Mus musculus: one gene and its partners. The protein of the gene in region 2 binds, or shares a complex with, the protein of the main gene of each other region. Links are inferred from orthologs where the notes say so. Each region holds a gene or a part of one and is shown on either strand. Other genes may lie near its edges. The genes, in order: Kcnip1, Kcnd3 and Kcnip2.

The links.
Region 1: the proteins of Kcnd3 (region 2) and Kcnip1 are in contact, whole or in part, in a crystal structure (PDB 2NZ0), measured with the Homo sapiens proteins. The link is inferred for Mus musculus from reciprocal best matches to the Homo sapiens genes KCND3 and KCNIP1. Residues at the interface, in NP_001365898.1 of Homo sapiens: Ala6, Ala7, Trp8, Leu9, Pro10, Phe11, Ala12, Arg13, Ala14, Ala15, Ala16, Ile17, Gly18, Trp19, Pro21, Val22, Pro26, Met27, Pro28, Leu29, Ala30, Pro31, Lys34, Lys36, Arg37, Asp39, Trp54; in NP_001030009.1 of Homo sapiens: Leu67, Arg69, Gly70, Phe71, Glu74, Val80, Phe85, Ile88, Tyr89, Phe92, Phe93, Tyr101, Leu105, Phe109, Phe122, Ala125, Leu126, Leu129, Leu130, Leu138, Trp140, Thr141, Leu144, Tyr145, Ile161, Val162, Ile165, Tyr166, Met168, Met169.
Region 3: the proteins of Kcnd3 (region 2) and Kcnip2 are in contact, whole or in part, in a cryo-EM structure (PDB 7W6S), measured with the Homo sapiens proteins. The link is inferred for Mus musculus from reciprocal best matches to the Homo sapiens genes KCND3 and KCNIP2. Residues at the interface, in NP_001365898.1 of Homo sapiens: Val5, Ala7, Trp8, Leu9, Phe11, Ala12, Arg13, Ala14, Ala15, Ala16, Ile17, Gly18, Trp19, Met20, Pro21, Val22, Ala23, Asn24, Cys25, Pro26, Met27, Pro28, Leu29, Ala30, Pro31, Asp33, Trp54, Arg60; in NP_775283.1 of Homo sapiens: Arg112, Gly113, Phe114, Asn116, Glu117, Cys118, Val123, Phe128, Ile131, Tyr132, Gln134, Phe135, Phe136, Tyr144, Leu148, Phe152, Phe165, Leu169, Ile172, Leu173, Arg180, Trp183, Ala184, Leu187, Tyr188, Met201, Met205, Ile208, Met211, His228.

What each region holds. Positions count from the first base shown.
Region 1 is NC_000077.6:33,641,099-33,644,705, reverse strand, and holds part of Kcnip1 (Kv channel-interacting protein 1), read left to right. Parts: intron 1-137; coding exon 138-207; intron 208-1,316; exon of another isoform or gene 1,317-1,339; coding exon 1,340-1,410; exon of another isoform or gene 1,411-1,479; intron 1,480-2,167; coding exon 2,168-2,275; intron 2,276-3,607. UniProt on the Homo sapiens protein: Regulatory subunit of Kv4/D (Shal)-type voltage-gated rapidly inactivating A-type potassium channels. Regulates channel density, inactivation kinetics and rate of recovery from inactivation in a calcium-dependent and isoform-specific manner.
Region 2 is NC_000069.6:105,657,862-105,661,468, forward strand, and holds part of Kcnd3 (potassium voltage-gated channel subfamily D member 3 isoform 2 precursor), read left to right. Parts: intron 1-749; coding exon 750-912; intron 913-3,607. UniProt on the Homo sapiens protein: Pore-forming (alpha) subunit of voltage-gated A-type potassium channels that mediates transmembrane potassium transport in excitable membranes, in brain and heart. In cardiomyocytes, may generate the transient outward potassium current I(To).
Region 3 is NC_000085.6:45,813,192-45,817,327, forward strand, and holds the start of Kcnip2 (Kv channel-interacting protein 2), read right to left. Parts: upstream 2,873-4,136; 5' UTR 2,613-2,872; coding exon 2,540-2,612; intron 1-2,539. UniProt on the Homo sapiens protein: Regulatory subunit of Kv4/D (Shal)-type voltage-gated rapidly inactivating A-type potassium channels. Modulates channel density, inactivation kinetics and rate of recovery from inactivation in a calcium-dependent and isoform-specific manner.

The DNA of each region.
Region 1 (3,607 bases), on a different chromosome or scaffold from region 2:
TCCAAGGCCCCCCTAAAGATACCCAGGATACATGTGTTTCCCAGTCTCTGCCCAAGAGAGGGCACGAAGAACCTGCTCAGTTTCCACCTCACTACAGACTCCCAGACCTCTCCCCCCCCCCCTCTCTCCCACCACAGGAGTGCCCTAGCGGTGTGGTCAATGAAGAAACATTCAAGCAGATCTACGCTCAGTTTTTCCCTCACGGAGGTGAGTAATAAACACCCTTGGAAAACCACTCTCTGGCATCCTCTCCAGTGCTCAGCCTTCCCTTCCCCAACCCCTCTGTTCTTTATCTCTGTCTTCTTTGGGGTCAGAGGAGAATTCATGGCGAGATTTTTCTTTTCTTACTAGAAAATACAAAACTCTCTGACAAACAAAACGGGGCCTCCTCTAGAAGAAGAATGGCTATTGCAGTGTCAGAAAGTCCTATAACAGCTCCAGGAAGCAGGCATCATGACCCCAGAAGGAACAACGGAGTTTCAGAGACATTAAGCAATTTACTCACCATCACACAGCTTGAATATGGCAGCCCAGGAATAGAAAAGTATATGGGACAAAAGCTTTGTCATTTTGGTTCCTTAAACAGCTAAGGCAGGTTGAAATTTCGTAAACAACATTAGTAAGTACTACAGACCACAACAATCACTGAGCAAAATAAACTGTGGGCAGCGTAAAGTTGTACTTATTTACAAAGTCAGATTAACGAAGGCACCGGACCCCCACCACCTGTCCAAGTAGGAACAGCTCCACAAGGCAAGGTATCCTTCCTCCTGTGGCCTTCTGGTGTCATCTGTCCACAGGTGTCACCTGGACAGTGCAGAACACCTCTCCCGGGGCCTAACAAAATAAAGACTCAAGTGTCCCACATCCTCCTTGGGCCTTTCCAGCAGTACACAGGTGTCTCCCTGGTGTGGGACTCAGTGTAGGATTTCTTTGGGCTGAGAAGGAGTAGTTTCACTTCAGGCTAGCACCTGACTCCCAGTTTATGAACACCTCAGAAACAGTGCTCACTGTGTCTCTCCTCACAAGGAAGTGCCGTGCCATGACAAGGACCCCTGCTCAGGATATCTTTATTCAGCCACACACACATACACACACACACACACACACACACACACATACACACACAGGACCAGGTCACAGAGGAACAGGCAGGGGACACAGTGGAGAGAGAGACAAGAACCTATCTAACCTTTTGCTAGAACTAACTTCTCACCTAAACTCCAGGGGCTGAGCAATGGATCTCCCTTTCCTCTCTCTGGCCCCACCCCTGCTGCCTCTGCCCTCTGGGGAGCCTTCCCTCCACCCCCACTCACCTGCTTTCCCCTCTTCTTTGCAGATGCCAGCACATATGCACATTACCTCTTCAATGCCTTCGACACCACCCAGACAGGCTCTGTAAAGTTCGAGGTATAGTATGTGGGTCCAGTCTGGGAGTTCCCTGTTTCCACATTGCCTCTCCTTCCAAATATGACGGTCCTAATGAAAAGAGTTAATTATCAAATGTCTTCAGTTAAGACAAGAAACTTGATTCATTTAACAAACATCAATTGAAGTCGGAGAAGACAATTTCCTTGTCTAAACACTGGGCTTGAGGGTGGTAGAGAGCTCCCTGTGCTCTGTATGCCGAAGGGCAACCTCTGGACCTAGCATTTCATATTTATTAACCTGCTTAACTTTTATAATAGTGTTTACAAGGCATGGTCGGATTATTATTTATTATCATTTTACAGAGGAAGAAAATGAGGCAGAGACAGAGTGGCTTTTCCAAGATCAGAGAGAGAAAAAAAAAGTGGCCAGGGAGGCCTTGAACACAGGCAGTGTGTTCTCTCACCCTGAGCTCCTATTCACTGGAATGTACAGTCCCTCGGATGTTAGCAACCATTGCAGCCTTGGGTTAGGATCAGCAAGGAAGGTGGAATTAACTGCCTAGAGGTGTCCACACAGTCAGAGCTTAAGTCGTCCTCAGTGGGCATCAGAAACTGCAACAGTGTAGGTATAGGGAATGGAAAATAGGACTGGGCCAGGCTGAGACTGGACATTTCCATCTGCCTAACAGGAGGGTGTGGGAGGTGCCATTTTGGAAAAGCACCATCATCCAGCCTGGTGGCCAGGCTTCTCTCCAGCCCCGAGGTGATTAACAGAGGCCTTCTTCTCTACTTCCTAGGACTTTGTGACTGCTCTGTCGATTTTACTGAGAGGGACAGTCCATGAAAAACTAAGGTGGACGTTTAATTTGTATGACATCAATAAAGACGGCTACATAAACAAAGAGGTAAGTGAGCTGAGAGCAGGGGACATGAGATGAACACACAGAAGAAGTGAAGAAGCCCACACAGCCATGTTCCCTATTCATCCAGACACGGGTGTTCAACAAAGATTGAGAATTCATTCAGCTTCCTGGATGCTGGAGACATCCAGCAATCGGCCCACGTCTGACTGTCATGGGGCAGTGGAGTGGAAAGGACAATCACAGCAAAATGTACAATGACAGGTAGATGTTTTGGTAAGAGTCAGCAAGGGGCTGTCTAATTCGGTATTGCCATACCAAGGGAAAGGCACCCCCAAAGTCAGGAAAAGTATCCCAGGAAGAAGAAACTGCCATTAGAAGATGGGGTTCCCACATGCCCTCCAAACAGAGAGGCTTGTTGGTGGCTGCAGGCTAGGAAGATACGGAAGAAAAGTAGACAGGCTTCAGCCTGGAAGGTTGTCAGGTTCAGATGGTGGAAGGCTGGGGTAGAGAGTCCACTCTACCTCCGGGGAGCTGGGGTGTAGAGCAGAGTTTTCAGAAAACACTAACTACTAACGGTGGCTCAAAGACAGCAGGAAAAGGTAAGTAGCTCCCTGTCCCTAAGAGAAATACAATTCACATTTAAAAACCCAGAAAAGTTCGAGCTCCTCGGATGATTTTCTGGTGACTTCTAACAAAGACCTACAAAGCTGGGGCGCAAGGAACTTTCCAATGTTTTTCTGTAAATCCAACAATACCCCGATTCTGAAATTTGAAATAAAAAAGGTCTGATGGAGAAGACAACTACCATTATTTCTCACGATGACAGATGCAAAAAAACCTATCAAAACTTTAGTAAACCGAATCTATCAATACATTAAAAAATACAGAATAGCGTAACAGAGCAAAGTTCATTCCAGGAATGCAAGGTTGGCTTAACACTCAAACATCCACATCATTCACTATATTTACACAACAAAAAGAAAAACTATATTGACTAAATAAATGCAGAAAAAGCACTTGATAAAAATCACCGCCTATTTATGGTAAACTTTTTAACAAATGGAGAATAAAAGATCCTTTTCTCAGCCTAGTTATCTGATAACTATTTTTAAGAACACTACAGCTAATATCTGCTTAACAGTGAATATTGCATAATTTCCCCCAAGGCCAAGAATGAAACAGGGAAACTGAGGTAAGAAAAAAATAAAGTTTTATCTGTAATAAGCTTGAATTCATAGAAAACAATTCATAGACATCTCAAAGAATCTGCAAAGGAATACCAAAGAAACTACTAAAAAAAAAATCATGAACTTATTTATTAAGGTAGCCAGATATAAATTCTATTTTTTAAAAAAGCAATATGTGTGTGTACTA
Region 2 (3,607 bases):
ACTCATATACATAAAATAAATAAATAAATCCTTTAAACTCTCTTGTAATATATATTGCAGTTATTCTACATAAGATAGGGATTAATATATAGTAATATGATGATCATAATTTGTATGATATATATTCATATATGCATATGTATATGTGTAATTATGATATATGTGGTTATAAAATAGAAGGTTACTTTATAGCTTTCTCAAACATCCTTGAAGTTAGTCATCTGTCCCCACCCCTCCTTGCCCTCCCTCCTATCCCTCTCCCCCCTTAAGCCTCTCCCCCTGTTATTCTCCTTTCCCCTTCCTATCACCCCTGCTCTACTATCCTCCCTCCCTTAAGGGACCACCAATGGTCACTTTCTGGGTTTGTGCATTCTACAGATACTCCAAATTAACCACAAGTCTAAGTCTTGATGCTAAAATCCACATAGGAGTGAGAACTGTAGCGTTTGTCTCCTGGGTCTGGTTACCTTTTCCCCACAGGGCTTTTTAACGGGATCATTTACTCGTGTGTGGCCTTCCTCATAGAAAGCAGCTCCATGAACATAGGTGGTTTGCTTCTTTTGCTCACTTTGGGATTATAGCCCCGACTCCCGTGTATAGTAGCTACTGTGGCACACTAATGAATAAATGAATACATTAACGAGTGTTCGAGCAAGTGAGTGATTGGCTATGAAGCCCCACTTGTTTCCCACATGGCCTCTTACTTATATCCTCTCTCTTGTGCCCACCCCTCACCCTCTCTCTTACAGATATGGAGACATGGTGCCTAAGACAATCGCAGGGAAGATATTTGGCTCCATCTGCTCCCTCAGCGGTGTCCTGGTCATTGCCCTGCCGGTCCCTGTGATAGTCTCCAACTTTAGCAGGATCTACCACCAGAATCAGAGAGCAGATAAACGCAGGGCACAAAAGGTAAGTCTTAGAGACAGGGTTGGAAGAGGGAGTAGGAAGGGTGGGAGACTCAGACAGCCTTGCCAGCCCTAGATCCTTTGGAGGATCCCTGCATGGACGTCCTCTCACTTGGAAAGATAAGGCGGTGTTGTATCCTCCTACCCACCAATGTCCTCAGTTAGCCTCAGTCTGCTGCTATAGAATGCAACAAACCTTAAGTTATTGACACAGAACCTGATTGTCCTCCATGCAAGTAATCTATTAACTGACACAATGCTCCATTTCTATACCCCCAGCCATGGCCACCAAGCAGCCCACCCAAGAGCTTACCAGGAAACAAAATGCCACTTTAATATCCTGTTGAGGGCCTGTACAAAACCAAGTGACAAAAATAAATGTGCAGAAAAGAAAAAAAAAATGAACACTGTGAGAGGAGAAGAGACTGTGGCCACTGAGTTCTAGGTCAAGTGGAACATCAAATATTAGTAAGCACCAGGGTGCCATGTCAAGTCACAGGACTCAGTTGATAACTAGAGAGTCAGCACCAGGCCTGGGCAAAGCTCTGGGTTCTGCCAAGTCTGTACTGAGAAAACAGGTAAGTGAAATACCTTTGTCTGCCCATACAGAGCAAGATGCCTACAGGCTGCTGTGCTCAGAAACCCTTTTCTCCTATGGCCTTCAGGCTTCTCTCTGGGACAGCAAGGTCACACCACAATTCCAAGGCATCATCCAGAGATGATTCCTGGCAAGATTTTTACAAGGGTTCTGTATTATTTGCCTGGCTGTGACAAATGCCTGTCATATATAATTAAAAGAAGAATCACTATTCGGTCACCGCTTCAGAAGGCTTCGTCTGTCTGCTTGGCCCTCAAACATCATGGCGACAGGGGGAGCACATGATGGAGATTACTCTTCATCTCTTGACAGACTGTGGCGGAGATGGAGGGAATGTCAGAGCTCCGCTGTCTTTCTTTTTTCATCGGAGCCCACGCCCACATGCTGGCACCATTCCCATTAAATGGGTCTCTCTCTAGACAACATAGATACTCCCAGAGGGTGCCTCACCAGTCTCCTGAGGGATTCTAAGTTCCATCAAGTTGGGAAAGACTAGAAGGCAAGGGATACCTGAAGGGAAGTGTCTACTTCCCTTTTGATCTGGGATGAAAATGGTACCTTTATTGCTCTGGAGGTCATGACCTGTGCCTCTGTGTACACAGAGGTCAGTCTCTGTAGAAAAGACAGAAGGGCACCTTGTTGGAAGATGAGCTTAGAGAGAAGGATTTTGCTCTTTTGTCTTTCTTCCATCCTGTCACTCCTACAGACATTTATGTAAGCACCTTCCATGTGACAGGCCTAACAGCTAGATTACTTGCTCCCACTGGCAGAAGTAATTCTTGGGTAGCAGGAATTACCATACAAACGAATCTAGAACCTAAGAACAGGTCTGTGTATACTGGCTATAGCATAGTTATAAAAAGCTACAAATTTGCCGGGCAGTGGGGGCACACACCTTTAATCCCAGCACTTGGGAGGCAGAGGCAGGCAGATTTCTGAGTTCGAGGCCAGCCTGGTCTACAGAGTGAGTTCCAGGACAGCCAGGGAGATACAGAGAAACCCTGTCTCGAAAAACAAAAACAAACAAACAAAACAAACAAACAAACAAAGCCACGAGTTTAAGCTAACTCTAAAACAATGGTATAACGACGTACACCGAAAACAAATAGCAAAATATACAATGAATAATATAATCATACACTAAGCCTGCCCCTGCATCCTAAAAATGACCTCTTGCCAGTCATTGTCTCCCTTCCTCCTTACCTTCTTGTTCCCCTGTACCCATGCCTGGTCTGTAATTTTGCCAGCCATAAATTCTTTCTTCTGAGGTCCTCTGTCCCCTGTAGCATCTACCTTCTATCTCTTCACCCAAGGTCAAGGTCTCCTCTCTCCCAGACACTCCTGAAATGGAAGTCTTATCTTTCCCTGCTCAGGGCAGCTGGTAAAAGTGAACAATGACTAAATACATCACACAGTTCTAAATAAAGGAGCAAAGAAAACCTGGCTATCACATCCAAACCCCGAGGCCAGGTTACCCTATAGCACATTTGCTGCCCTTGCACCTCCTAACCCCTGGCAAGCACAGACACGGGGGGGGGGGGGGTTGGTTTTGGTTTTTGGTTTTTTTGGTTTTTTTGGTTTGTTTTGTTTTTTTGCAGAGCGGGTAGGGTTCTCAGAAGTGCCAGGCTCAATGGTAAGAGCCCCTCCAGAGGTAGCTGTGCTCTGTAGCCACCTTTCCCTCCCTGCCTACACCATTCCTACTTCTCAAAGAAGCTCATCTGCCAAGACTATAGCATTGAATGTTTCCCGCAGACTGTATAAAGCTTATGGTGTGTGGTTAAAATCCAGCAGGACTAACTCTGGCTTTTTCCTCCCTCTAAGCTATTCAAGAGGAGCCCTCCACAACCCCTTTCTCTATCCTTTGAACTAAGTAAATATTTACATGTTTTCACCCAGCCTGGATGCTGTTTCTCCTCCAGGTGGCACAGCTCTGTCTCAGTCACCTTGGGCTTCCTGTGAGAGAGAAAAACAATACTGTCTGCTCCCAGCACTCAGTCTGTCATGGTGAGCCAAGGCAAGGCTGACTCAGGGGATTTAGAGAAAGTGGAGAGATTGGGACAGGGAGGAGGTTAGGGAAGCTGATGATAGCCCTTAGCCCTGA
Region 3 (4,136 bases), on a different chromosome or scaffold from region 2:
TAACAATCTCTGTGTAAACCCCTTTCTGGGACTTATTGCTATGTAAATCCTTCTAGCACCTACAAACACTTCAAAATCCTGGGAAAGGCCATAGAAGATGTATGCTCCCATTTCTTCCACTGTGTGTGCGCGAAGGGTAGGGGAACACGCCTATATTAAGAGAAGAGAGCTACCATTAAACACCACACCTTGTCTACTCGAACCCACTGGCAACAGTGCCCACGAGGAATTAGTTTCATACACAGGGCTCTTTGGCCACACGGGGGCGCTCCATCCCCAGGAACGATACTTTAATTGCCAAAGGAACAAGACTCCAGGGATCCTGGACCCAGGCCCTGGGGCATGGCCAGTCAGGACCCAACTCGCAATTTCAGCTTGGACAGTTCTTTTTAGGCCTCTCTTTAGATGGGGTTGCTGCTGAGCGCTGATTCAGCCTTTCCCCGCTGTGCAGCACTGCCAAACAGCCCCCCTCCCCCCCCCCCAGGCAGGTAAGAATACGAAGAATTGGGGGTTACGGGGTGGGCACATCCTACCCTACCCCTACTAAGAAAGTCTTTCCCAATTGCTTTGAGCTTGGTTGGGATAAGACTGCGATGGTTGGGGTGTATCCAAGTTGCTCCGAATAATAACTTTAAGACCACTTTGCTGCCAGCATAATGAACCAAGTTGATAGGGATACAGCCTCTTCCTCTATCCCAAATGCAACTGAGGAATCCAACTTGCATAGGGAAGGAAGGGGGGGGGGGGCGCGGCGGGAGCACGCTTCAGCACCGTGGACAACGACTCCTCCTTAGGGCTCCAATCAGAGGACTCCAGTCACAAGACAAGCCTCTCTTTACAAAGGAGAGGTCTCCATAGTGCTCTCCAGTCACGTGCAGAGCCATCTACAGCAAGGATGGTGAAGACTGGAGAAGTTAAGGTTTGGGTCCAGCCTAGGCTACATAGTAAGGCCAGGACTATGCAGCAAAACACTCGCTCACGATAAATAAATCGAGTAGCCCAGCGAGGAGAATATTTCACTAAAGGGGAGAATGGTGTAGGAAGTAAACTAACTAATCGCATGTTAATGGGGGCTCTTGGACCCTTACTGCTTTCAAGGATCCTGAATTGATGGCGGGCACAGAGCAGAATGGGGTCACACATTCACACACCGCTGGTGTCCTGACATTGCAACTAGGGTCATCCCAAAGTCAGTAGCTGAGACTTATTCTCAGAGCACTAGATCCTGGTCCCCTTCACTGCTTCCCAGGTTCTGCCCTGACTCTGTTGAGAAGGGCAAGGATTATGGTCTTCCCCACTTGCCCATCGCTGTTTCTGTCTTTGGACAGACAGCCCCCCTCCTACTCTTCGTTGGAGTTCTTAGGAGTTCTACACAACGAGACACAAATATGGAAATATACAAAGGTGACAAAGTCATTTACATAAACAGAATTTACCTACCAAGCTTAGTACTCTACACACACATATAGACCCTCCCAAGGTGGGCCACAAAGTGACGGGTGTGGGAGGGGTTGGGGGGAGGGGAGCCTTCCCACACTTCATAGGCCCATAGTTTCTGTCTTTATTCTGAAGGAAAGCAAGAGGTTTAGATGAAGTTCTAATAGGGTTGCTGGTAATTAAAGAAGCTTTGCATGCTCAGAATGACCTGAGTAATTACCCTCCGGGGTAGAAACTAACCCAGGACTAACCAAAGACTCTCTACAGGGGCCAAGGGCTAGAACCCCAGGGTGGTGGGTCTCTCTTTGGGTCCTTGAGCTTTTTGCAGGAAATAGAGGGAGCAAATGGGGGGCACTAAAGAAAGACCCTTGCTAACACCCGGAAGACAGAGAGGCAAAGAGGACAGAAATGCCATTAACAGTCACAGGGGCCCCCACTGCAGGCATCATGCTTGAGAGTGGACAGCACCAAATGCTGAAACAACCCACAGCCCCACAATCACAAACACTTTTAATGAATACTCATGCCAGAAGTCTTCTTAAGGGACAGAACACCACCAAGTGACACCACTCTGGTTGTCACACGCCATTTCACACAGAATCATTCAAAGCACACAGTTGAACATGTAACAGACATATGGTTAGAACAAACTTCACTAGTGCAGCCGGGGTCCTACACAACCACACTCAAACATCTGGCAAGCCCATAAAATCGCACTGCCTCATGCAAACACACTCACCCCGGCTGTCACCAACGCTCAAGGCACACGGCAAACAGCTGTGGGAGGTGCACATACATACACAGACACACAGGAACGACAGGTGCTCCCGCACGTAACACCTCCCACTCCAGACACACTCCTAGCCCTGTGTCACACACGCCTACACCTGCTGCCTCTCTACACCTGCCCCACCTGTTCTTCCTCAGCCCCCTAGGGACCCAAAGCTTTAAATCCTAGGGTCTTGTTCCCTAGACCAGCCTGCAAGGTGCACAGGAATGGGGCAGAGTGTGCATAAGGGCCAAGCCAGGGGGCAGAGAGATGGAAGGGTCTAGGGGGATGGAGTCTGCTCACCCTCCCAGGACCCCTGAGCCACCTACTCACCCGTAAGCTGGTCATAGGAGCCGTCCAAATCTCGGGATTCGGACAAACTCTCCTTTCGGCCTTGGCCCCGCATGGCCCCCGGCGCCCCGCTCCCGCCTGGGCCGTGGGAGGGGGCGCCGGGTGGCCAGGATAGGGCGCTCACACAGTGCCCCCTGGCGGCGCAGCGACCTGCTGGGGCTGGGGGCCGGGAGTAGGGGCTGGCAAGGCTTTTCTCTGGGGAGCGCTGGATTTTAGGGCCCACCTCAGAGTCCCGGGGCAGGAGCAGGATCCTTGGGCAGCAAGTGAGAGCGGAGCAGAAGGCAGCGTGGAGCTGAGAGCCGAGCCTGAGCCCAGCCGCCTCTCCTCCGCCCCCTCCCCGCGGCTGTCACTGCCGCCTCCCCCCTTAGGCGCTGCCGGGATTGGCTCCCCCTACCCCCGCCCCCCACCCTCTGCAGCTCGGAGGAGGCACCGGGTGAAGGGGTGAACTGGAAAGTGCCGGAAGGGAGAATAGCTCTCCATCTACACCACCCACAATTGCGGGGCTTCGAGAAGAGGGGGCCAGAAAAGCCCCGCTGTGAAGAAACCCCGCCTCCAATTCTCAGGCACCTCTTTCCCTCCGCCCCCCAGTCAGCCAGTCCTGCACAGCTGGGCCAGAGCCTGGGGTATGTCTGAGTCCCTGGTTCCCTCTGCTCCTCATCTCAGCCTTATATTCTCGGTTGTTCCTCCTGCCGAGAGTTGCGTGTTCCTAATCAGCAGCCACCCTTCTCTAGCGGAATGAGGATGCAGAGCCAACCAACCCAGCCTCTGGACACGGGCTCACAGGTGGCACTGGGTACATTTGTCTATCTCAAGTTCCGGAGGGGGCCTCACTTTCTGAATGCCCTCTTCCCAGATCTGATGACTCTTCCTACCCACCCCCCTCCCCAGGCAACTGGGAAGGCAAAAGAAAGAAGTCAACTTTTTTTTTGCCCCTTTCTCTCCCCCCACCTGCTGTTCTAGACTTTGTTTTCCCGGCAGATTTAGGGAGCTTCTGAAAGGTTTGGGGATCCGAGTGTGATACAGAAGCGAGACGAGATGTCTCCCTCATTTTCTGAAGTGAGGAACAGCCCTGCACAGCCCGGCACACAGCTCCCTCTCTCTCCACCTCTTGTCTCCAGGAATGGCCTGTTAAGACCAAAGGTCTCAGCTAAAGTACCTCAACACATTGAGTCTTTTCAGTCAGATTTACTTTCCAAATACTTGAGTCAGTGAACTGTGGCGGGTGTTCCTGTATGAGGCTGGGACAGGCAGCTGCCTTAAGGAGGCCTGTCTCTGGAAGGAACGCTCCCAGAAACCTCCACAGAGCTGTCAGAGGCACCAGCCAAGCTGATTTGTAGACTCCAGGCTAAACGTCTTAGGTGTACAGGAAGGAACCCGGCAAGGGTGGGCTTCTAGTCAGGAAAAAAGGAGAGCTTTGCTTAGGGCTGCTTGTCCTAGACGGAACCGGAGGGACCTGCTCATAACATTACTCCCTTCTTTCACCCAAAGGCAAGGGAAACCACAGTTCTCTGAACTCAGCTGGCCTCTATCAAGGCCAAGAGGTCCTTTTATGACACAGGACCAATACCTGCATCAAAGA